Linked DNA regions of Astyanax mexicanus. The protein of the gene in region 1 interacts with the protein of each later gene in a pairwise test. Links are inferred from orthologs where the notes say so. Each region holds a gene or a part of one and is shown on either strand. Other genes may lie near its edges.

The links.
Region 2: the proteins of aldh16a1 (region 1) and dera interact in binary tests that used the Homo sapiens proteins (3 or more experiments, as listed by UniProt). The link is inferred for Astyanax mexicanus from reciprocal best matches to the Homo sapiens genes ALDH16A1 and DERA.

Annotation. Positions count from the first base shown.
Region 1 is NC_064426.1:20,717,323-20,728,930, reverse strand, and holds the start of aldh16a1 (aldehyde dehydrogenase family 16 member A1), read left to right. Parts: upstream 1-7,151; 5' UTR 7,152-7,491; coding exon 7,492-7,581; intron 7,582-9,601; coding exon 9,602-9,701; intron 9,702-10,472; coding exon 10,473-10,599; intron 10,600-10,714; coding exon 10,715-10,872; intron 10,873-11,608. Other genes in the region: apoptosis regulator BAX, read right to left, coding at 760-864, 962-1,097, 1,701-1,871, 4,363-4,411, 4,491-4,512.
Region 2 is NC_064409.1:10,718,950-10,730,649, forward strand, and holds the start of dera (deoxyribose-phosphate aldolase), read right to left. Parts: upstream 5,262-11,700; 5' UTR 5,135-5,261; coding exon 5,104-5,134; intron 3,340-5,103; coding exon 3,242-3,339; intron 3,151-3,241; coding exon 3,003-3,150; intron 1,902-3,002; coding exon 1,806-1,901; intron 1,689-1,805; coding exon 1,554-1,688; intron 541-1,553; coding exon 412-540; intron 1-411. Other genes in the region: helb (DNA helicase B), read right to left, coding at 8,040-8,171, 8,945-9,430, 10,630-10,788, 10,951-11,206, 11,336-11,395, 11,547-11,634. UniProt on the Homo sapiens protein: Catalyzes a reversible aldol reaction between acetaldehyde and D-glyceraldehyde 3-phosphate to generate 2-deoxy-D-ribose 5-phosphate. Participates in stress granule (SG) assembly.

The DNA.
Region 1 (11,608 bases):
TTTCTTTTTACACTTTGTAAAGTGTCCTTGAATGTTGTGCAAGGCGCTTAAAAATAAAATGTATTATTATTATTGTTAACAAAAATTTGGTTGTCTATATATTAGCATGATAAGTCTAGTAATGTATACTAATATATATACATAATTATTTAAATACAACGCTGGACAAAAAGAGACCACATACAAATTATTACTTTTTTTTTATTTTACCAAATTGAAAACCTCTGAAATATAATCAAGAGGAAGATGGATGATCACAAGGCAACAAACCAAGCTGAACTGCTTGAATTTTTGCACCAGGAGTGGAATAAATTTATCCAAAAGCAGTGTGTAAGACAGGTGGAGGAGAACATGCCAAGAAGCATGAAAACTGTGATTAAAAAATAGGTTTATTCCACCAAATATTGATTTCTGTACTCTTAAAACTTAATGAATATGAACTTGTTTTCTTTGCATTATTTAAGGTCTAAAAGCTCTGCATCTTTTTTCTCATTTTCTGCAAATAAATGCTCTAAATTACAATATATTTATTTGGAATTTGGGAGAAATGTCTGTAGTTTATAGAATAAAACAGCAATGTTAATTTACTCAAACATAAACCTATAAATAGCAAAATCAGAGAAACTGATTCAGAAACAGAAGTGGTCTCAATGTTTTCCAGAGCTGTACATTTGCTTCCCCTTACATGCATAGTATAGGAAGTCTTTCATGTGAGTATCTCCAATTTGTGAGTTCTGTACATTTGTAGGTGCTTCTTACCCATCCTCCCATGTTGCGAATCCACTGTAATAGCGTTCTCCTGAAGTAGTCCAGACTTAAATTCAGAATTTCTGAGAATACTTCAGGCAAATGAGCGAGTACCATCTGGAGAAGAAAACAAAAAAATAAAAATCATCAAAAGGTATGAAACAGAAGCCTATAAAGAACAGGTGAGTTTAACTCTAATCAAAACCAGCAGGACCTTTGCAGCCAGTTTTCCAACAGAGTAGAACAGGACAATAATTCTTCCCCAGTTGATCTGGCCATCACTGAAGACTCCCTCCACAAGCTTCCAGAAACTGTTTTTATTTGCCACACGTCCTAATCCGTCAATCATGCTGAGAGAGGAGGACAGATGGTAGAAGAAGATAAAATACAGAGACAAGATAGGAGAGTTTATACTTTAAGAAATTCAGGTCACATTAGAACAAATGCTGGTAAACATTATGTGTAAAGTACAGTAAAAGGAAACAAGATCTTTTGAAGAATCTAGCATATACGCTATATGGACAAAAGTGTTGGGACTAAAATGACAAGTTTAAAAAAAAGTTTATTCTGCTTTTGTTGGAGTACCTGTCTCTACTGTGCAGACTGACAAGAGCAATGCTGAGGTAAATATGTTCATGCTTCATGATTATCGGCTCCAAAGAGTTCTATTCTATTGGCACTTCAAGAACTCTAAAATATAGACAAGCTGTGGATGGTCCTTTGCACATTAGCAATGGGTGAAACTTAAAGCAGCTGAATGCATTAGTGCGTTTTGTGAGCTACCTTAAAAAAAACTTGAATCCAGATTTCTTTTGGACACCACCAGCCAGCATGTGGATGTGCTTTAATTGATTAATATCGTTAACTGTTAACCAAACCAAGTGCTGTGTGAGATCTTTAAATAATACTACACTCCCATGAGCAGAGCTCTGGAAAAACATCATTAAACTTACTCATTAAATCCAGTATCCATATCCAGTCTGTCCCCAATTACTCGTATGGTGTCTGCCAGCTGGTTCAAAAGCATCTGATTCTGAGCATGGGATAGCGGCTTTGGTTTTGGAATACCCAGAGAAGAAGTGTCTCCTGCTGCGTTTACACTCTTCACCTGATCCTCTATCACACTGAAAAACAGACAGAATGTAAGTTAACCCACTGTACTATATTGCAGGGGTGGGCGATATGGCCCTACAACTATAAACCAAAATATTTCATGTTATTTTCAGGATATGAGAAAACACTGATTATGGAAAATAATCAGATTAGTAACAGAGGTCAATGATTCAGAATGTCATGATACTAATAATGCACTCCAAATATCACCATATATCCAGGATTAAAGTAAAATTAATGATAATAGAGATATAATGTGTCTCTAAAAGCAAAAAACAGTGGTGCCCTGATGTGATAATTAGGGGTGGGATATATGGCACAATGTTTCAGGATATAATATCGTTCAGGATATTAAAAGGTTTTCGAGGTATTGTTGCATCTGTAACAATATGGCACACCCCAACTATATTGTTAAGAAACATATAGACATGGGTAAAATGTATTACATTTATAGATCATATTAATTCAGTGGCACTTACTCCATTGTGTGTGTATATATAAAAGTGGGATTTAAATATGTTTAAATGATGTTGCTATTTATATTTATAGGTTTATGTTTGAGTAAAGTGAACATTGTTGTTTTATTACATAAACTACGGACAACATTTCTTCCCAATTTCAAATAAAAATATTGTCATTTAGAGCATTTATTTGTAGAAAATGAGAAATGGCTTTGCCAACCTAACATATATTCCTTTATTTACATTTATATATCCATTTAAAAGCTTGAGAATAAGTGTGTTTAATAATGACTAATTTCTGAATGCTTTTCTGGCTGCATTGATTAATTTTGTAATTGGTGGACTTTATACAGTCATATGAAAAAGTTTGGGCACCCCTATTAATATTAATAATTTTTAGTTCTAAATATTTGGGTGTTTGCAACAGCCATTTCAGTTTGATATATCTAATAACTGATGGACACAGTAATATTTCAGGATTGAAATGAGGTTTATTGTACTAACAGAAAATGTGCAATATGCATTAAACCAAAATTTGACCGGTGCAAAAGTATGGGCACCCTTATCATTTTATTGATTTGAATACTCCTAACTACTTTTTACTGACTTAAAATTGGTTTGGTAACCTCATTTATCTTTGAATTCTATAGCCAGGTGTATCCAATCATGAGAAAGGGTATTTAAGGTGGCCAACTGCAAGTTGTTCTCCTATTTGAATCTCCTCTGAAGAGTGGCATCATGGGCTCATCAAAACAACTCTCAAATCATCTAAAAACAAAGATTGTTCAACATAGTTGTTCAGGGGAAGGATACAAAAAGTTGTCTCAGAGATTTAACCTGTCAGTTTCCACTGTGAGGAACATAGTAAGGAAATGGAAGACCACAGGGACAGTTCTTGATAAGCCCAGAAGTGGCAGGCCAAGAAAAATATCAGAAAGGCAGAGAAGAAGAATGGTGAGAACAGTCAAGGACAATCCACAGAACACCTCCAAAGAGCTGCAGCATCATCTTGCTGCAGATGGTGTCACTGTGCATCGGTCAACAATACAGCGCACTTTGCACAAGGAGAAGCTGTATGGGAGAGTGATGCGAAAGAAGCCATTTCTGCAAGCACCAAACAGAGTCGCCTGAGGTGTGCTTTTGCCTTTCTGATATTTTTCTTGGCCTGCCACTTTTTCATATGACTGTAAATACCAATGTTGCAGGGTCCGCTCATGTCTGTGCTACCTTCTGGCTCTCTCCGTTTAATTAGGCTGTAAAGAGTCAGATCTAAGTCGGTAGCTGCACTTTTTTCAATCCAATGGGCCGTTCTGCTGGAAACTGTTTGGGCGTTCTAATACCCGCCTCAGACTAGTTACATACTCAACATTTCTGGCATTTCTTACGCTTCACAAATTCAAATTAAATATCAATGTCTGATCTGACAACTAACAGCTAGGATGCCAAAGCCATTTATTATCCAATCAGCAACATTTAAAACAAACAAACAAACACGACTTAACTCTCCCATCACAAATACACTAATCTTCCACTACATAACCAATTATCCACTATTAAACACGGGTGAGTGTTTTTGAGATAATGAGTCACAAGGCCTGTTAGTCTTGTTTTCTCCTCAGCTTTGTGTGGGTTTTAACTATATGCCTTTTCTTAAATCTCTTTTGTTTATGTTTATTTTTTCATTTCTGGATTTACAGGAATCTGCTTTGTGGCACCATGAGACTTTATTTACCTGTTGCTGATGTTTAATCACCGGATCTTAATCATTAGAACAGCAATATAGTGTGATTTAGAAACTGAAACCAATTCTACTTTCACTTCCGACTGGATGAAGATTTGACAATGACTTGGCCTTTTCTTGAATCTGCCCTTGACTGTAGCCTAGTTCTCAAATAACATCTAACATCTAACTTCAGCATGTAGCATGTAGTTTAATCTACCTTTAATCTAATGATACTTAACAACAGTAAAAACATATAACAGACCAGACAATAATTAACTAAATTACAAAAAAACACAGTAAGTAACCTAGTTAACTCACCCAATTAAGAGTGCCTCTCCAATCTGATCATCTGGAAGAGAAGAAATAACTTAAATTGAACAAAATAAAACTAATCATATTCATATTCAGATCACTCAGAGTTAAAATATAGATTAAAACGAGCTTACCTGGGGTTTCTTCACACGCCATGGTAAATGAGACTCTGTTTACTGCGCTCTTTACCCGCCTGTTTATATCTCTGTTCAGGTGTTCCGCTGTTCAGGTGGTAAATCCTAAACCTCCATCGAACTTCAACAAGTTCTCTTCCAGGACTCACACTCAGGAAATGAGTGCAGCTTCTTCTTCTGCTTTTGGAGTTTAGGCGGTTGACAGATCAACGAACGTAACATTACCACCACCTACTGGATCTGGAGTGTGAAGGACGATTTCAGAATAACTATAATAATAATAATAATAATAATAATAATAATAATAATAATAATAATAATAATAATAATAATAACGATAATAATAATAATAATAATAATAATAATAATAATAATAATAATAATAATAATAATAATACATATGTTTTCAATAAAGTCAATAATAAAATTAATAAACCTACATGTACAAACTAGTTGACTTTAAAAATTGAAAAACAGATTTGTGAACTTTATTCATCCCTAAACCATAAACAAGTATACAAGTATACAGCTCTGGAAAAAAATAAAAGACCACTTAAAAATGTATTTTCTTTTCTTTGATTTTACCAAACTGAAAACCTCTGGAATATAATCAAGAGAAAGATGGATGATCACAAACCATCAAACCAAGCTGAACTGCTTGAATGTTTGCACCAGAAGTGGCATAAAGTTATCCAAAATCAATGTGTAAGACTGGTGGAGTAGAACATGCATTAAAACTGTGATTAAAAACCAGGGTTAAATTAACCAAATATTGATTTCTGAACTCTTAAAACTTTATGAATATGAACTTGTTTTCTTTGCTTTATTTGAGGTCTGAAAGCTCTGCACCTTTTTTATTATTTCAACCATTTCTCATTTTCCGCAAATAAATGCTCTAAATGACAATATTTTTATTTAGAATTTGGGAGAAATGTTGTCCGTAGTTTATAGAATAAAACATTAATGTTAATTTTACTCAAACTTACCTATAAACAGCAAAATCTGAGAAACTCATTCAGAAACTGAAGTAGTCTCTTTATTTTTTTCAGAGCTGTATATTAGTACAGCAGCACTTTATCACAAAACATTATAGAGCGCTACATATATAAAGAAGAGGCTCATTATTTTTGTTGTGTTAATTGATAGAACAAAAATAATGAGCTTTGATTTAGAAGCTAGATTGTGCCCATGTTTCGCTCATCTATTAAGAAATAAAGATTTTTAAAATGAAGTTCTTTGCCTAGTGGAGCCCATGAAAAAATCCTACATGAGTCGACTTAAGCTTTTGTGGAAGGGGAAATTTTATCAAATTTATCTAGGAAAAAAATAATTAAATCATTAGCCTAGATAATGAATTCGATTTTTTTTACATCTCGTGTTTTTGGCCTACTGCATTATCCGCTCTGGCCTTTAGATGGCACCAGTACGCCGTTCACTATTATCCTTATTTAAAACTCAGTCTCAAAAGGCAAAGCTCAGAGATCAGAGTACCGTTTAAAACGTGTTTTAATGGAGAAATTCGAGGTATTCGTTTTTATTTAAGAGGAGCTATGCCTTTTTGGACAACACAGATTAAGGTGGATGTATGTAAGGGTAATGTAATGTTTGTGTCACTCAAACCTCAAGATGATAAAAATATTCACCCATAAAGTTGCCCAAAAAGCTGTGTCTGCTCTTTAATGAAAACCAATAGCTTTATTATTACTTTAAGTGCTAAATATGTAATAATCAAAAATTGCTGTGGTGGGTCACTCTTATATTTTCAATGTTTTCAAAGGCTGAGATGATTGGGAAGTATTTTTGGCATTATTGTGACACTTATTGTGACTCTGGCTTTTATTTACTTGCTTTTAAGATTTTGTTTCCTTTCTGTTTCTGTTCATCAATGTGGATGCTTCTATAACTTCAAATGTATTTAATTATTTTTTTTAATTATTTTTAATTTGAGTAATAGTGAGCAGCTGTATCACTACTACAGTTATTGCAATAAAACAGCCAAGTGGATAATAACAAAAAACACCAGACATAGAATGAAATACATTACGAAAATTTAAAATACAAATAAAAGCACATGCAAGAGATCAACATTTCAAATATACCTCAAGTAATGAGCACAGTTTAAAAGCATTCTTACCGCTCATGTGTAGTACAGAGCCAAATCATTCTTAAATGCTAAACAATTTAAATTGATGATTTATGTATATAACATTTAGCCAAAATAGTAGTTGATAAAGGTTTGCTTCTATTGTGAAATACAATAGGTCTATCTGAGTTGTATATGCATGCTGCACATTAAACTGTTTCTTAACCTCCATTGTCTGCAGTAGCTAAGAAAAGCATACGTCAACCTGTGAATTTATGGCTTTGAAATCAATGCATGGAAAAATGTCATTTACAATTTTATAATGAATTTCTTTAACTTTAGTTTAGATAGGAAAAGCAACATTATTTATTCGAATTTTAATAATTTCCATTTTTTTCCCACAATCAAATTCAAGATCTCTCCTTTTATTAAAACAGTAGTTAATGGTAGCTCTGCTGGTATGTTTTGTGTGTGTGTGTGTGTGTGTGTGTGTGTGTGTGTGTGTGTGTGTGTGTGTGTGTGTGTGTATGTATGTAGGTGGCAGTAATGTGGAGCTCAGTCTGAGATTAAACCCCAGTAAGAGGGAGAAGAAGCTGTGAGGGAGGAGTTTATGAATGACAGCAGAGAGGACTGCATGCTGCTCAACACTGAAGACCAGCTACTTTCTTCAACTTTCTTTCTGAAGCTGCTGGTTTTTCACTAATTAGCTAACGCTACCTATTTAGCTTATTAGTTTAACTACCTTTATCAGGGGGATATTTTCAATTCTCTCTTATAACTGAAAGCATTTTCACAGCCTTCACAGCTGCCAGGTAGCTTAACCTAGCAAAGTAAACCAGTTTAGCCCAGAGAGGATCTTATATAGGACGTTTAACTGCGGGTTGAGCTGAATAACTCTGGCTTACCTAAACTCGTGTTATGGCAAGTAGCACCTCGAACACTGTGTACGACATTTTTCAGTCTATGGATTCCGGAGCGCCCAGTTCCAGCACTGCTGCTGCTGCCCGGGTAAGATAACTAACTCTCCTATCAGAAAAGTTCATATTTAATACATGTATACACAGTTATTAACTACAGCTGTTTCTCTGTGTTATTCCACTGTGTTTAGTCTCCACTAGAGTCAGTAATGGCCTGCAGGTGACTTTATTAGCTAATTAATTTACCTCACAAGAGAAAGCATGTGACCCTACCAGTGAATGTGGCTACGCTTGGTTTCTTTTCCCGCCCGTTTTCATGCACGTCCCGCCCCCGCCTGACCCTCTGCCCTGTGATTGGCTAATTGTTCATATTCTCCGGCGCGGAGCCATTGAGGTGTTTACCAGAGCCATGACTACTAGCCAATCCTGCAGCAGGAGGCCGGCGACTAGTAACAAATCCAAGCAAAGGGGGCGTGGTCTGTCTGAATACGGGTGGGTTAATAAATAACACTGTTTAAACAGTAGCTACTGAAGTGGAATGGTGTAAAGTTCAGACAGACAGTCTACAGACAAATATACAAATATTTCATGTAATTCTGTGTAAGTAAAGAAAGAAATGACTGTCAGTTAATCAAACAAAAAAAAATCAAGAACTTTAAAAGTATCCTCAGGTGCAGGGGTAAAAAGACTATCAAAAACTTTGATAAAATGATAAAACTGGCTCTCATCAGGAACACCACCAGAAAAGGAAAATCAAGAGTTTCCACTTTTGCACAGGATAAGAGTATCTAAGTTTCCAGCCTCAAAAACCACAACCACAACAGCACCCCAGATAAGAGCACCTAAATACTTCACAGATTATTTTGGTTTATTTAACACTTATCAAATTTACTACACAATTCCTTATGTGTTCCTTCATAGTCTGGATGACTTTAGTATTCATTTACGCTATAGGAAATGAAGCTATAGGTTGTATACGTGGCTACTCAAAATAAATTGTTGGTACCCTTCTATTAAAGAAAGAAAAACCCACAATGATTAATTAATAGGAAAAAAGCTGTTCCTGAGCCATACGTAAGGTGCACCGGATTATAAGGCACAATGACGATTTTTGGGAAAATTTAAGGATTTTAAGTGCCTTATAGTTACCTTATAGTGCGTAAAATACGATAAATGTTCTCACAGCTTGTCCCTGTATGCCCTTCTTCATTGTCACTTTTGATCAGATCTATCAGTGTGGTGCCATCCACAAACCTGTGGATTATGGAAAGAGCCATGAACAGAACCAATAATTAAACCATAAACATAAACTATAAAACCATAAAATAACGTGCCCTGTAGTGATTAAAACAATTATATGATCTTAAGAGAATAGTCTTTCGTTTGGGTTATATATGCAATATTACCATATAAATAACAATCCATTTGTTATATAAAATATTTTACATAACCTGTAAGACTATTTCATATATAGTAAAAATGCTGCATTTCCTAGTGGAACCCCATAGATCTGACTGTCTCTCGTTTAAAAAGGTTTTACTAAAAATTTGTATTAATGTTGAGGTGTAAAACATTACATTATCATTGGTAAAGAGGTATACTACAAAATTAGTCACTGAAAAGGAGGTAAACTGTGAAACTTGATATTGATAATGGGATTCAGCAAGAGATGAGTCATTGATGACCAGCTATACTACAATATTTGATCAAGGATAAGGATGTATACTATGATATTATTTGTTAATCATGAGATAACTATAAAAGAAGTCATTAATAATAAGGTATACAATGAGATTAATAATTGGTAATGAGGTGTACTAAGAGATTAGAAATTATTAATAATGTGTACTATGTAATTAGTCATTGAAAATGGAGTACAGTATGAGATTGATAGTGGAGTACTACAAGTACTTGGTAGTAATTGATAATGAGATATGCTGTGTGATTGGTATATAAACATGAGTGGAAGCACAGGTTATTGGGTGAGGCCAGTAGTGGATCAATAATGATTTAGGCTAATAGATGATGGCCAGAGATTGGAGAGAGTAATTGCAGTAACTGTATTAAGAGTATCAGTCTGACAGTGTGTGTTTGTGTGTGTGTGCTCTCAGGCTTGGCTCGAGCAGCATTCTCAGTCTCTGGGTCTCTTCACCAATGGGAAGTTTGTGTGTCCGGTCGGCAGACGGACACATGCTGTGACTGATTCCAAAGGTGGGTAAACTTTTTTTATTTTAATGTTGTCATTTATTAATGTTGTTATTTAAATGGTTTCTCTCTACACTAGTAAGAATGCATACTTGAAGTGAACAAGGGTGTCGCCATGTGTCTAATTCAGCAGGTCTTGCCACTGGGGGGGGACATCTTAGTAAACACAACTGTAATTTAAAAAAAAAAATCATTTATTTTAAAGTCAAACGAGTGCTGGATATTAAACTACACAGATTTCTCTCACGAAAACTGTTTATTTGGATGAGTAAAGCACTTCCGTTTTACAGTAAGCTTAAAATTCCAGTATTTTGTACATGGGTGAGCACTAGTCGCAGTTAGCAGCGATAGCCAGCCCCGGTTAGCAGTGCTAGACAGCGGTGGTTATCGCTAGCCAGCGGTTTGTCCGATGTAGCTTGTTTTATCACAGTAAACGTGCTGATTACAGTCTGATATACCCACCTCTGAACAGTGAAATGCCTAGCGATGCGGTTAGCAGCTAAAGCTAATGCTGCTGCTTTCAGCCTCAGCGCTAAAGAAACTTCACTGAAACTCCCTTATAATGCTGTATTTTAGCAAAAGTACACCTTATAGTCGGTAATACGGTAAAAAAAAAAACATACATCAGTAAATTAAACTGCTATTGCATTAAACATAGTTATAGGAGGACATTGGAGTCTAATTTCATGAAAATGAAAAAATGTCTTAAAATTTTCACATTAAGCGCATGCAACATGAAAACTAACACTGCCTGATTAGTTTTTTTCCCCTTTCCAGGTGGAACTGTCTGCAGTCTGGTCTGTGCTGAAGATGAAGATATCTCATCTTGTGCTTCCTCTGCAGCTGCAGGTTTTAAAGCCTGGGGTGAACTGAGTGGCCATCGTAGAGCTAAAGTCCTGCTCAGGTCAGTGCAGCATTCTTTAGCCTCTATAGGACATAATGCACTGTCCTGTCCCATGACTATTGGCATGCCGGTATACTATGGTTAAATGTGTTAAAGATTTTATTGTGTGATGCAGGTTGGCGAGCACTCTGCAGAGATACACTCAGTGTGTGAGTGAACTGTGTGATCTGTGCCAGTCTCCCTGCCCCCCCTCGGCTCTGGTCAGACTGGCCCAGTACTATGCTGGCTGGGCTCAACTACGAGACACACTCATGCCTGAGTGGACCCCACGAGGTGTGTAAGTGTGTGAGAGAGTGTGTGTGTGTACCCTGTGTGTGTGTGTGTATGTGTTTGTACACAACTGGGTTTAAGCCTAGTTCAATACAAAATTTTCCTTTGAATCATTAAAAATAGTGTGTTTATGTTTATAAGTGTGTTTTTATCCTTTTCCAAATTTCTGGAGGAAGGACAACAGGGGCGGGGGAAATTCAATTCATATACTCAATTTGGGCATGGGCGATTCTGGATCGATTCACAAATGACAAAAATTGATTTTCATGGAAGTGTAGCGCCTGAACAAACATCTGCTGTGTGTGTGTGTGTGTGTTCAGCTCGAGTGACCGCAACTGACAGTAACCATTGGAAGTTCTAATAAAAAAAAACGACGACTGTAAACGTCTTTCTCCTTCTTCGTTTCAGCGCGTTCAGCCAGATGCTACAATTTGTTTTTACTAAAGAAAATGACAAAAATAGTAACGCACAGTAAAGTGGATAAGTAACTTTAATCTGATTACTGGATTGGAAATAGTAATGCATTAGATTACGTTTTACTGAAAAAAAAGGTCAGATTAGAGTAATGTGTTTTTGACATCATTAAATAAGGATGTTGACAAGAGCCACACAATATGCAAGCTATATTAAATTATAGGGCTTTCGTGCCATGCTGCACATACTGAGAGAGAAAGCGAGAGAGGGAAGAAGAAGAAAAAAATTAGTAAGTTTTAATTATGAGATTTAATCCATGCTTTTT
Region 2 (11,700 bases), on another chromosome or scaffold:
AATGCATTTTAATAATGATCCCTATCGGCGCCGCTGACAATTGGGTACAGTAATCGGCTTAACATGCGATGGCTATTTAAGCACACAGTCACTGGCTCGCACTGTGTGTGTGTGTGTGTGTGTGTGTGTGTGTAACTGTGTGTACTGGGCATTATGGTTGGCCATCTGGTAGAAAGGATGGTGAAGCAACAGTTGAGCAACAGCACCATGCAGTGGGCAGCGTGACTCACTGCGCAAATGCTGAAAGATGCTCAGCTGGCAGAGTTGATCTGTACTAAAATCAACCCAGCATTTATTTAATTTCCTGCCAAAACTGCCCTTAAGTACACTGGCGTTCCAAACATCACTGGACAGCAGTAAGCAAATGTAAATGATGCACGTGTATGAGCCTCCAGGACTGCAGGGCTTTACCTGCCATCATGGACACCAGACTGGCCTTGTAGACATTGGTGAAGGTGCCCAGCTCTCCTATTGCCAGGATAGTCTTCATGTGGGCATCGCCGCATGCCTCCCGAAACTGACGGATCTCATCATACATGGCTGAGTGGAAGAAGGCAAAAAGAACATAAAAATAAGCTAACTTTTATTCAAATATGCATCAACCCTAAAGAGCATATGGTGATATATGTGTCACAGAGCATTTAAAAGAGATGTTACGTTCCGTACAGGACTCTGAGAATGTATTCATTAATTTGACCTAATTTACAGAATGTAGGATTGCTGGGTTTATTGCTGTAGATAAAACTAATAAACTAATTTTACAAGTTAAAAAGCATTTAACAATACACATTTTAATAAAAGTTTTTTTTGTTTTGTTTATCTAGTTCTGACACTAATCAATAACAACCAATTGCTACAACCAATAGTCATTGTGATTTGTGTTACATCAGGATATTATCCTTAAAATATTGGCAGTAAACAAACACAAATGAACTGCTTACCTCTATTTATCTGATGTCATTTTAAATTTGATATCACTATTCAGAAGTGGTTCTAAGCTCTTACATATAACTGAAACAAGCCTTAAAAAGTCTCTCCAGCACTAAGGCTGGCTGCAGCAGCGTTAGCATTATCCGCTAACCGCAGCACTAGCTTTTTTTATCACCGTTCAGAGGCAAGTATATTTGACAGTAGCCTGCATGTTTACGGTGTTAAAACAAGCTACGTGAGATAAACTGCTAGCGACTAATTCCCTGGGTGTTCCTTAGGCTAGCGTTATCGGCCCGCTAGCATTACAATTAGCAGATAATGCTAATGCTGCTGCACCCAGCCTTAGTGCTGGAGAAACTTTACTGAAAACTCACTCTTTGACAAAAAAGGTAAATCTTAGCTTACTGTAAATAAACAGGAATGCTTTACTCAGCCAAATAAACATTTTTAGGAGAGAAATCTGTGTAGATTAACATTAATTGATAATGTGCCTTATAATCCAGTGCACGGTAGTTCTTAAATGTTTAATCTGTTTAATAATAACTTTTTTATAAACTAGTCAACCTAAAACATATATTGTTTGACTATGCATGTAAAAAAATAGAAAAAACAGAAAAACACACCTGCCCACTGCCCAGTAAGAGCCAACGTGCGATTAATAACAATGTCGATTTCAGTGGCTCCATCCTGTACAGCCATGCGGACCTCCTCCAGACGAGTCTTTAATGGAGTCTGACCGGCAGGGAATCCGGTAGCCACTGCAGTCAGATATGAAATATGAAAATAAAAATCAAGGCTCAATCTGACTAGGAAATATATCAGTGTGTTATATATTTAATGAATAGGAACGTACTGCAATGCTGTGGAAAGCTCACCTGAGGCTACAGGTAGGCTGGAGTTAGCCGCTTTCAAAGACTTTACAGCATCAGCCACGCGAGACGGGTAGACGCACACTGCAGCTGTTGAAATACCTTTTAATGCAAACAAATACACAGATGTTACATCAGGAAAAGCTCAGTGACTTTTATATGTTGATATGAGAACATGTAATGCTTTCGGGCTATTGTCTTACACTGTTATTATAGAATATGACTAAAGAATTGCTCATGATGGTCACTGACAGTGTTTATAAAACACTTACTGAAATAGTTTGTCTCCATCTTGTGGACAACTGTATAGTTGCACAGACAATGTAATAGCTGAACAAATAAAATATACTGCACATTAATGCTACTAAGCAACGACCCAGGAAGTTAATTTTGTATAATGTAGTATAATTATGTTATCAAATTAACATCGACATTACATACAGTATTGTGTATATGTATAACTATGCTATTAATGCTATCATTATATCAATGACATTATTTGGCCTTAAACTTAAACTTATAGGTATTCCACTGATATTATCAATATGTCAGTCAAAAAATTATCCTAAAATTCCAATAAAACTGGTAATCACAAATATTTTTTATAGAATAATACAGGGCCCCTGGGGTGAAGTCACAAAAAAAATAATGCATGGCCACCATTTATTAATGCGTGCAAACAAGGTAATGAAGTCATGAGGATAAATTCATTGGGACGATTTCTTAAAGAGTGGAAACAAGATGTTTAAGTCGTGGGGACAACTTACATGACCAAGACTTAATTATCTTGTTCCCATGCCTTAATAAGTTGTCCCTACTACTTAATTAGCTTGTTCCCAATGCTTTAATAAGTCATGGCCACATTAGGATCTTGTTCCCACACCTTAACTCTTTGAGGCCTGAATAATCTCAAGTGATAGAATGTACATAAAATGTAAAAATGCTGTACTACTGTAGTCTTAGTGCTTTTGCAGTGGGCGGGGCCAAATTACTGTTTCATTGGTTAATAAACTTGTTTATTGGCCGGTTGGTGGTCTATTCTGATGTGCAACAAAACATTTTATAAAAAAGAAAATATGTGATGTCCATTTTTTAACATGATGCTCCTTAGCATAATATGTTACTTAAACAAAAATAGTTTGGGTCACAAGCCTATCAATAGTGTATATAAGCATTATTTTCCTATACATATACTTTAGGAACCTTTATCGTGCATGTCCATGCTTTTCAGCAGGTCTTGGCGGACTGGCTGTACGGCCTTCATACAGAGCCGGTGAACATTGGATGGCGTGTCGTCTCCAGCGAGGGTCGTAAGGTCGATACACGTTACGGCCTTCAGGAGCCAGGCTGCCTGTTAATCGAAACGTTGCAGGTCACAAGTCTTCAGCAGAACAAACTCTTTACTTCAGTAGACACAGAGTTTAGCATTAGCCTTGACCTACCTGCCACTGTTTCTTGGCCACTTTACATCCCTGAACTTGTTGTGCCCTTTTCAGCACAGCCTGGGTATTAACTCTGACCTTTGACACCCACTCGAGGTCTGTTAAAGATAAAAACAATGTACATTAAGTTTTTGAATGGGCTTTTCAAAAACTGGCCTCTATCACATCCTGTGGTAAATGAATATGTTCAGATACCTGTAAGTTTTGTTCCGAATACATTGTACTCCAAAAAAATCACTGGATTCTCTGAATTAAGAGATGGTTTAAGAGTAGTAATTAGAATAATCCAAGTTTTAAGCTAATGCTACAGGGAACTAGCGTCCCAGCGCAGCTGCAGAGATCGGCGGGGGACTCTTTTTGGCGTAACACCAGCGAACTCCAGCCTTATGTTTACAGTTGTTACACAAAGCTGATCCAACTAATGAACTAACTGCCCTCACTGAGGAGAGCTGGGAGTGTTAAAGCAGGAAATCACTAACCCAGCAGCACAGAATTGCCCAGAACCAGCTTTTAACGCTGTAACACGTTTTACTATTCACCGTCTTTATTATGCAGTGAAATAAATTGAAGATGTTTGGTGTTTCTGGCTCGTTGGTTTAGAAAATTAAGCCAAGGTAAGAGTTATCTCTGTAACAGCTGTCCGTGGAAAAAACATACATTAAGCCTTATTTTAGACTCTTGGTTATTCAGTTAGTTAGCTCTGTGGTTTGGTCCTGCTAGTTTTCCTGCTGTATCACTAGGTTCGCCTCAGTGAGGGCACATCGTTAGTTGATTAGTTAGTTGTTAGTTGACGATTTGAATCAGGTGTGTAAATCCCAAAAAACAGTATCTCAGAAAATTAGAATATTATATAAAAACAACAGGTACTTGGACAGTGTGCCAAGTCATAATAAAAAGTTGTCTCCAAAACATCACTGATTGTGGAAATTTTACACTAGACCTCAAGCAGCTTGGACTGTGTGTCTCTCCACTCTTCCTCCAGACTAAAATTTACTGATGCTCAGTGATGGTTTGGAGAGACATGTCATCTACTATTGTTGATCTATTGTTGATCCATGGTGTTATATCAAGACCAAAGTCAGTGCAGTGTTTTCCCAGAAAATCCTACAGCACTTCATGCTTCCCTCTGCTGACAACTTTTATGGAGATGCGGATTTTAAGATAAGGATTTTATTTTCCAGCAGAACTTGGCACACTGCCCATACTGCCAAAAGTACCAATTGGTCTTATAAAATATTCTCATTTTCTGAAATACTTTTTTTGGGGTTTCATTAGCTGTAATCCGTAATCAACAATCAACAACACTAAAAAATAAACGCTTAAAATAGATCACTCTGCGTGTCACATCTATATAAAATATGAGTTTCACATTTTGAACTGAATTACTGAAATAAACTAACTTTCCAATAATATTCGATTTTTTTAAGATGCACTAGTACATTAAAACATGTCATATTAAAAAATATATTTAAAAAAACCCTCAAAACTGTACATCTGCATAGAACCTATGATCGCTAACAGATCGTGTGCATGAGGACTGGGTCATGTGTAACTTATTAAAAGGGGCCTCATGTGAGAGGAGGATGCAGTGAAAATTAAGCTTTCTGTTATCTCTTAAAATTCTGATATCTCGCCAGTTTCACCTTGATTGCCTCATTTGTTGCTTCACACCCACTAAAGATTTTATACCGAAGCGAAATTACAAACAGTGGGGAAACTGTCCGTTCACTTCTCGATATAACAGTACAGCTACAGTCTATGAAGAATCTACTGCTGTTGCTGGTACAGTACAGACACGTGCAGCGCGAGCCCACACTGACCCAGTACTGCAGTAAAGCGCCCAGTGAATCTGAAGCTCTTACCCAGATCCATCCCCGGGTTTCTGGAGGACATGCTGAAGATCAGAATCAGCCCAAACCCAACCAGAGAAGATTAATCCAGCCTCACCTGCAGAAACACCTCAAACAGCTCGAGCTGCTCACACTGCTCTACTTCCTCATCTCTCACCCTATCGTCACCAAACAGCTCTCTGTCTGGACCAATCAGCGTGCAGCTCTGCAGTGGGCGTAAATCACGTGTTCAACAAACAGAAAAACTGAAGGCTGATATTTGTACTGTACTGTTTTTACTGCAACTAATAACCCGTTTAAAAGTTAAACTAATGAACAAATAATAATTTACATAATAATTAACATTTTCCCCATGTAGATACAGTTCTAAACTTTTGTCTCAGCAGTACAAATACTTCTTTACTTTAATAAAATAGCATTTTTTGTTATCTATACTTTAATGGAGTAATTATTATTTTTCAGACGATTTTTCCACTTCTACCCTTTACATATTCCCTTGATTATCTAAACGTATTGCTCCTTACAAAAAAAAAAACATAATTACTATATATATTAATATATTTCATTTCAGTTTGTTTTCATTCCAGGTGTTCGGTCGAGACATGCTACCCATCAATTTGTGCTACTTAGCAGCTCTGCGCATGCGTTACTTCTCTCTTTTTTGTTTACTGTTTTTACGTGTTTTCCTGATATTTTTTTTCTTGGGAGCATCATAGAATCTAAACTCACTGATATTTCTTTGCTTGAGTTAGATATTTTACAACCGTGTAAACAAATAAAATAAAATAATAATACAAATACAAGAAAAAATAACTATAAAACGGCTTCTAATCACCTCTATTCTCTAAATTTTACTCTGATACAGCGATGTAGATTATTCAAATATCTTATCGATACTTTTACAGCGAGCAAATTTACTTTTTTACCTTTAAATACACTAGGGTTGCACGGTTTGGCAAGGTTGCACAACTCGACAGGACACCGGCTTCTCAACGTTCAAAAAAACCCTATCCAGATTAGTGAATCTGATTGTGGTTGGATGTATAGAACTATAAACATATACCCTTTCGTCACCCTATTGGTTTATACGCAATCCATCACACCTGCACATGTAGAAAACACATTATAGAAATAAAGACAAACATTGAATGAAAAAGTGTTGAAACTTTTGGCTGGTACTGTATGTTTGTGTGTATCATCAGTGGCATCGTTTTGCATTGATTCATCTGAACTAATCCATGTCAATAATAGTAACAAATATAATGTGCCTAAAATTATTACACAAAAACATTATGCTAATGTCTTCATTGAGAACAACCATAAAAACTCTTAGTGCACAAGCATGTGAACCCTTCTGTTAATTATTTTAGGGACAGAACCAATAAAAGAATAGACATATGCATTTTAATGCAAGGAATCTTAAGCATACAAATGACATCATTATGCACAACTGTAGTTTTACAACAAATAAAATCTCTTTTTGGGTTTGCTCGGTTGAAACTACAATTCACTGCTGTCCAATAAAAAAACAGGCATATCATTATTTATATTTTTTCCAACATCATTGATCCCTCTAACTGCCCTGAATACTATGTAAATAAATATGTACGAATAGAAATTCTATAAAATTACATGGAAATCCTTTTTTATTTATTTATTTTTTACATTACCTTCTATTCTATGTTAAAACATTTTTTTTATTGAACAGCAAAAAAATGGACTAGGCTACTCACAGATGATACCTGTGTTTTGAACTAGTTACAGACACCCAGGAACTTGAAAAATGTATTGAACAATCCCAATTTCTTTAAACCACCATTTCACCGCTGCTCACTTAATACAACACAGAAAGAAATAAAAAAAAAAATGTATGTAGTCATACACATGCTGCATCACTGTCCTTTGAGCTGCAAAGGTATTGCACGCTGAATGGAAATAAAGACATACAATAAAACATATCTAATGATAAAAGCTCTCTGCTGCATGAATAATCAAGACGATAAGAACCAAACACATTAAATCACTCATTTTAAGCAAAGCAAACCAGCTTCTTCTGTAGCTTACTCTGGTAATCAAAAACAATTAACACCATAATATGAAGATAATGACAAGAAAATCACACATCTGGAAAACAGATTTTTTTTATGAAAGTCTCCTAAAAATTATGTACCAGCCTCAAAGTATGAATTCAATGAACAAAACTATATTTTCTGAAACAGGACACAAAAGGACACATTAAGCACATTACTTACTCTGGGTCAGTGTAACATTTTTCAGTTGAATTGTCTGACCATTATAGGAAATAGAGAGTAAAACCTCTTTCGTATTTAACTCTTACTATTTGCTGTAGTACAGAAGAAATAGGTTTTTATACATTTTTCCAATTTTCTGAAAAAAAAAAGAAAAAAAATCTTGTAACAAAAGTAAGTTGCATTATACCATCACATTTTGTTACAAGATTTCAATTTTAAGTTTTATATCTTAATGTTCTATGTTCAAATGTAGCCTGAAACAGTCAGAAAATTGAAGTGATAAACGTTACACTGACCCACTCTGCCCTGTAGATGGCACCAGTAAACTTAAATTTACCATCATCTCCTCAAGCTTATTGTCCATGCAGGGGTTTCTCAAAGTTCAAACATGGCTGAAACTATTAAAAATAAAATACAAATTCTAGCCGTTAAGTAATATAGCCACAAATCTGTCCAGAAACCAGTAGCTGCTAAAGATATTTTTGATATTGATTTTAAAGAAAATTAGATACACAACTTCTGACAGACATTACGCTTAAGAGGCTTATAGTGAGTGGCATATCATGACACACATAATATTTTTTCTCATAATACTAATACTAAATGACAATAACCCCAAAATATAAGAGCTGTCATTCTGTAGTTCTGGGTAAAAGTAAATTCTGATTTTTGTAGGGTTCTCCTTGTGCTACTTGCTTATTGTGGCTGGTCTTCAGTAATCTGAGGGGCTCCTGGAAAAAGCTTTCTGGCATGGGCTTTTGGAGTACTGCTAGCGAGAGACAGGCGCTCCAGTTGGGAACAACCCAGTGGGGATTCCACTGCAGCCGTCTGAAACGAAAAATAAAAATGTTACTAAGGCAATGCAGCACCACAACCTGACCAACTTGGTCCTGACATCATAATCACATGTTACACAAGCACAAGCAATCCGCAGCCAAACTTATATGGAAGTCAATGAAAAAAAGACTTTATTCCAATTAACTTTGGAGCATTTCAATTGGTCCATCTGTCAAAAAATTGTAACACAATGTAAAGCACCACTGGACTGCTGGATTATATCAAAAAAGTAGATAGAACATTTTGTATGACATTGATGGCATACAATACATGTTTGAAGGTTTGAGGGCATTTTTCCAATTCAAACTTCACCCATTAGGGACAAAGATGTGTAAATATATGTAAACAAGTAGTCTAATTCCTATCGAGAAGTACTGCCAATAGAATAAGGCTCTCTGGCGTACATAAGCATGAACCTACCGGCACCATACTTAACCTTAGGAATAAAATAGAGGGACATTGAATGGTTTATTGGTGCACATTTTGGTGCGTTTAGGTTAATGCCTGTGTGAAACAAGTCCAAACAAAGGGAGAAAACGCTCCAAGTAAATGAACTCATCATCGATTCGGACCAGAGAAACAAACTAAAGGTGTGAAAACGCCCTAAGAGAATTAGAAACACTAACACAACAAAAATCAAGCTGCACGTTTGAAAGCACGCCTATAGACTGATAAAATAGCGCCCTATATTTGCCTATATTTATAGTCAGGGTTCCATATAGTGTAAAGTGTAGCTTCAGGTATTTATTTGCAACCCCTCTTACCTTTTGTTGTTTGGTTGGTGTATCGCAGTTGTCAGACTTGTTATGACGCTTGGACACACTTGGACTTCCTGACTGGAAGGTGTTGTTTCCATAAATCATATCTTCCGCAGTATTGTGGGTGCATACTTGCTCTGCATACTTGCTCTTTGTGCTACAAAAAGCCTGGGACGGTCCTGGTGAAGACCATAGAGTGGACTGACCTGGGAGAATGCTGGAGCCTCGCTTTGGAGTTCCCAGATAAGACTGGCTAGTCTGAGTGTACAAATCGTCCCGTGTCTGCTTTAGCTTGCCGATCATATCTGTGAGAAGGCCAGCTAGTCTAGTGCTGCGTTTGATGACGTGTCCACGAATGGCGCGCTCTAGGCCACCGATCTTCGCAACAACATACACACGCTGCTGACCACGTGTGACTGCTGTGTAGACGTGTTTCCAGGTTTGACAAATGCCATTCCCAACTACATACACAACAGTCTTCTCCTCTGAGCCCTGATAAAGAAAGACAAAAGCAGGTTTAACATATCATATATTAACATATCACATGTTACCCCTATGATTTATTAATACTGTTGTAGCTACAAGGCTCACTTAAAATGCTTTAATTTTCCCATAATGTCATCTAATGTGCATCTTATAATTCAGTGCGTCTTATGTATGTATTCTACCAGTCAGGTTGTAAGGAGCAGTAAAGCCACTCCAAGCCACTACACAGGATTTTCTGTTTAGTTCTCCAGCAGTATTAGCATTAGCCGCTAAGCACTAGCCACTCGGCCATTCAGAGGTAAGTATTATCAGACCGTAGTCTGCAGCTAACCTCAGCTAGCACTGCTGGAGCATCATTAGCATTACCCACTAACTAGCCATTTGGCCATTCAGAGGTGTGTAGTATCGGACTGTAGTCTACGAGGATACCGTGTTAAAACAAGCTATGTTGGACAAACCACTAGCTAATATCGCCCTTGTTAACCGGAAAACTCAGGGTTCCTCAGTGTAGCGCTGTCGGGCAGCAGTTAATGCTAATGCTGCAGCCTTAGTGGAAATCTAAGTTTACTGTAAATAAACGGAAGGGAAGGAAGTGCTTTACTCACCCAAATGAACAGGGGAGAAATCTGTGAAGATTACGATCATAAATGTTTTTTTGTTTTAAGAATTACAGTTTTGGTTACTTAGCTTAACTTAGCTTAGCTTTACAGGTCTTGCCCCCCAGCTTAGAGACTTGCTGAATTAGAAGGGAAACATGGCAAAACCCCTGTTCCAAACAAGTGTTGCCTAATGCGCCTTGTGTATGAAAATAGACCAGAAAATAGACGTTTATTGATAGTGCACCTAATAATCCAGTGCGCCTCATAAAAATACAGTGCCATATATACAGTACTGTGAAAAAAGACTTTAAGTACATGCACTTAAAGCAATAGTTGCAAAAACAGGTGCACCCAGAAGAAAGTGTCTGACTGTGAACCCATTAAAACGGTAGATAAAGGTTACCATGATTTTTAAAAATTTACTGTTATGGGCAACGTTTATGCCAAACATCTCAGCATCGCCATTCTGCATCACTCCATGAGAGCCTAGTCCTGTCAGTTGATTCCTTTTGGGTGCAACTATATTTTGACAATGTGTTCACGTGTAAATATTGTATTACTTAAGAAGGAGGTGCATAAAAGCAAAGAAGGACACAAGATGTCGACCTGAAAAGTGTGGATGGTTCGGGCCCAGGCGTGGCGTAATTTGCACTCTCTCTGCAGCTCCCTGTAGTCAGCTTTCAGCACCACTTCACCAGTCTCATCAGCCAGCAGCAGTTGCCGTCTCTTACTGCCCCGTTTACCAGCGTCCTCTACAGTGCGATCCTGCCATTAACAACACACAGACAAATCCTGAACCAATCTGCAAGATCCAAACATGAACTAAAGATGTTAAACTTTTGTCTTCAAACATTGTGTTAATATTTTAAGTTACTGAAAATACTGAAGGCTAGTAAAATAAATGCAATTGTGTATGTTTTTTCGTACCTCTTTAATAAAGAAAATTTGCCCATTGCACAATCGTGTTTTTGCCTGCTTATTCTTTTGCGTTTCCGTAGTATCTTTCACTTGCTCATTCTCTTGTGTTTGCGCAGTATCTTTCGCTTGCTCTTTCTTTTGCATTTCTTTGGTATCTTTCTCCATGTCTTTGATCTCTTTTTCTTTATCTATATCTGTCACATAGCCATTCTTTGTGCAACAAACTTTATCACCAACCTGAAAGTTTAGTTTTTTTTTGCAATCTCTGAAAGAAAAAACAAGCAAGTTAATAAACAAACGAATAAGAGAATTGATTCAAATCTAATTTACATCACCAATTTGAACAATAATGGACAAAAATAACAAATAACAACTTAATGTTAAATTAACTTACTTTGTAGTATGATCTGAATAATGCTTGCAGCAAAGCTCATTGATCAAATCACAATCTCTCCTGTTTAAAAAAATAAAAAATAAAAATCATATCTGTTACAGCATGTGCTGAATGTTTGAAATGGCTAATTCAGATCAACAGTTTTTTCTTTAAGTCTTTAAGTCTATCTGATTTTTTCCCTTTGGCTCTTAACCAACTTTAGATGTCTTACCTCATAAAAGCAACAAACTGTGAAGACCGATCATCTTTTAGCCCAGGGGCTGGTCTTTGCAGCAATTGTTTTATAGCCATCTGTAGATCTAAGATAAAAACAACAAGTAGGAAACAAATATGTAGTAATGCAATGAAACAAATATGTAGGGCTA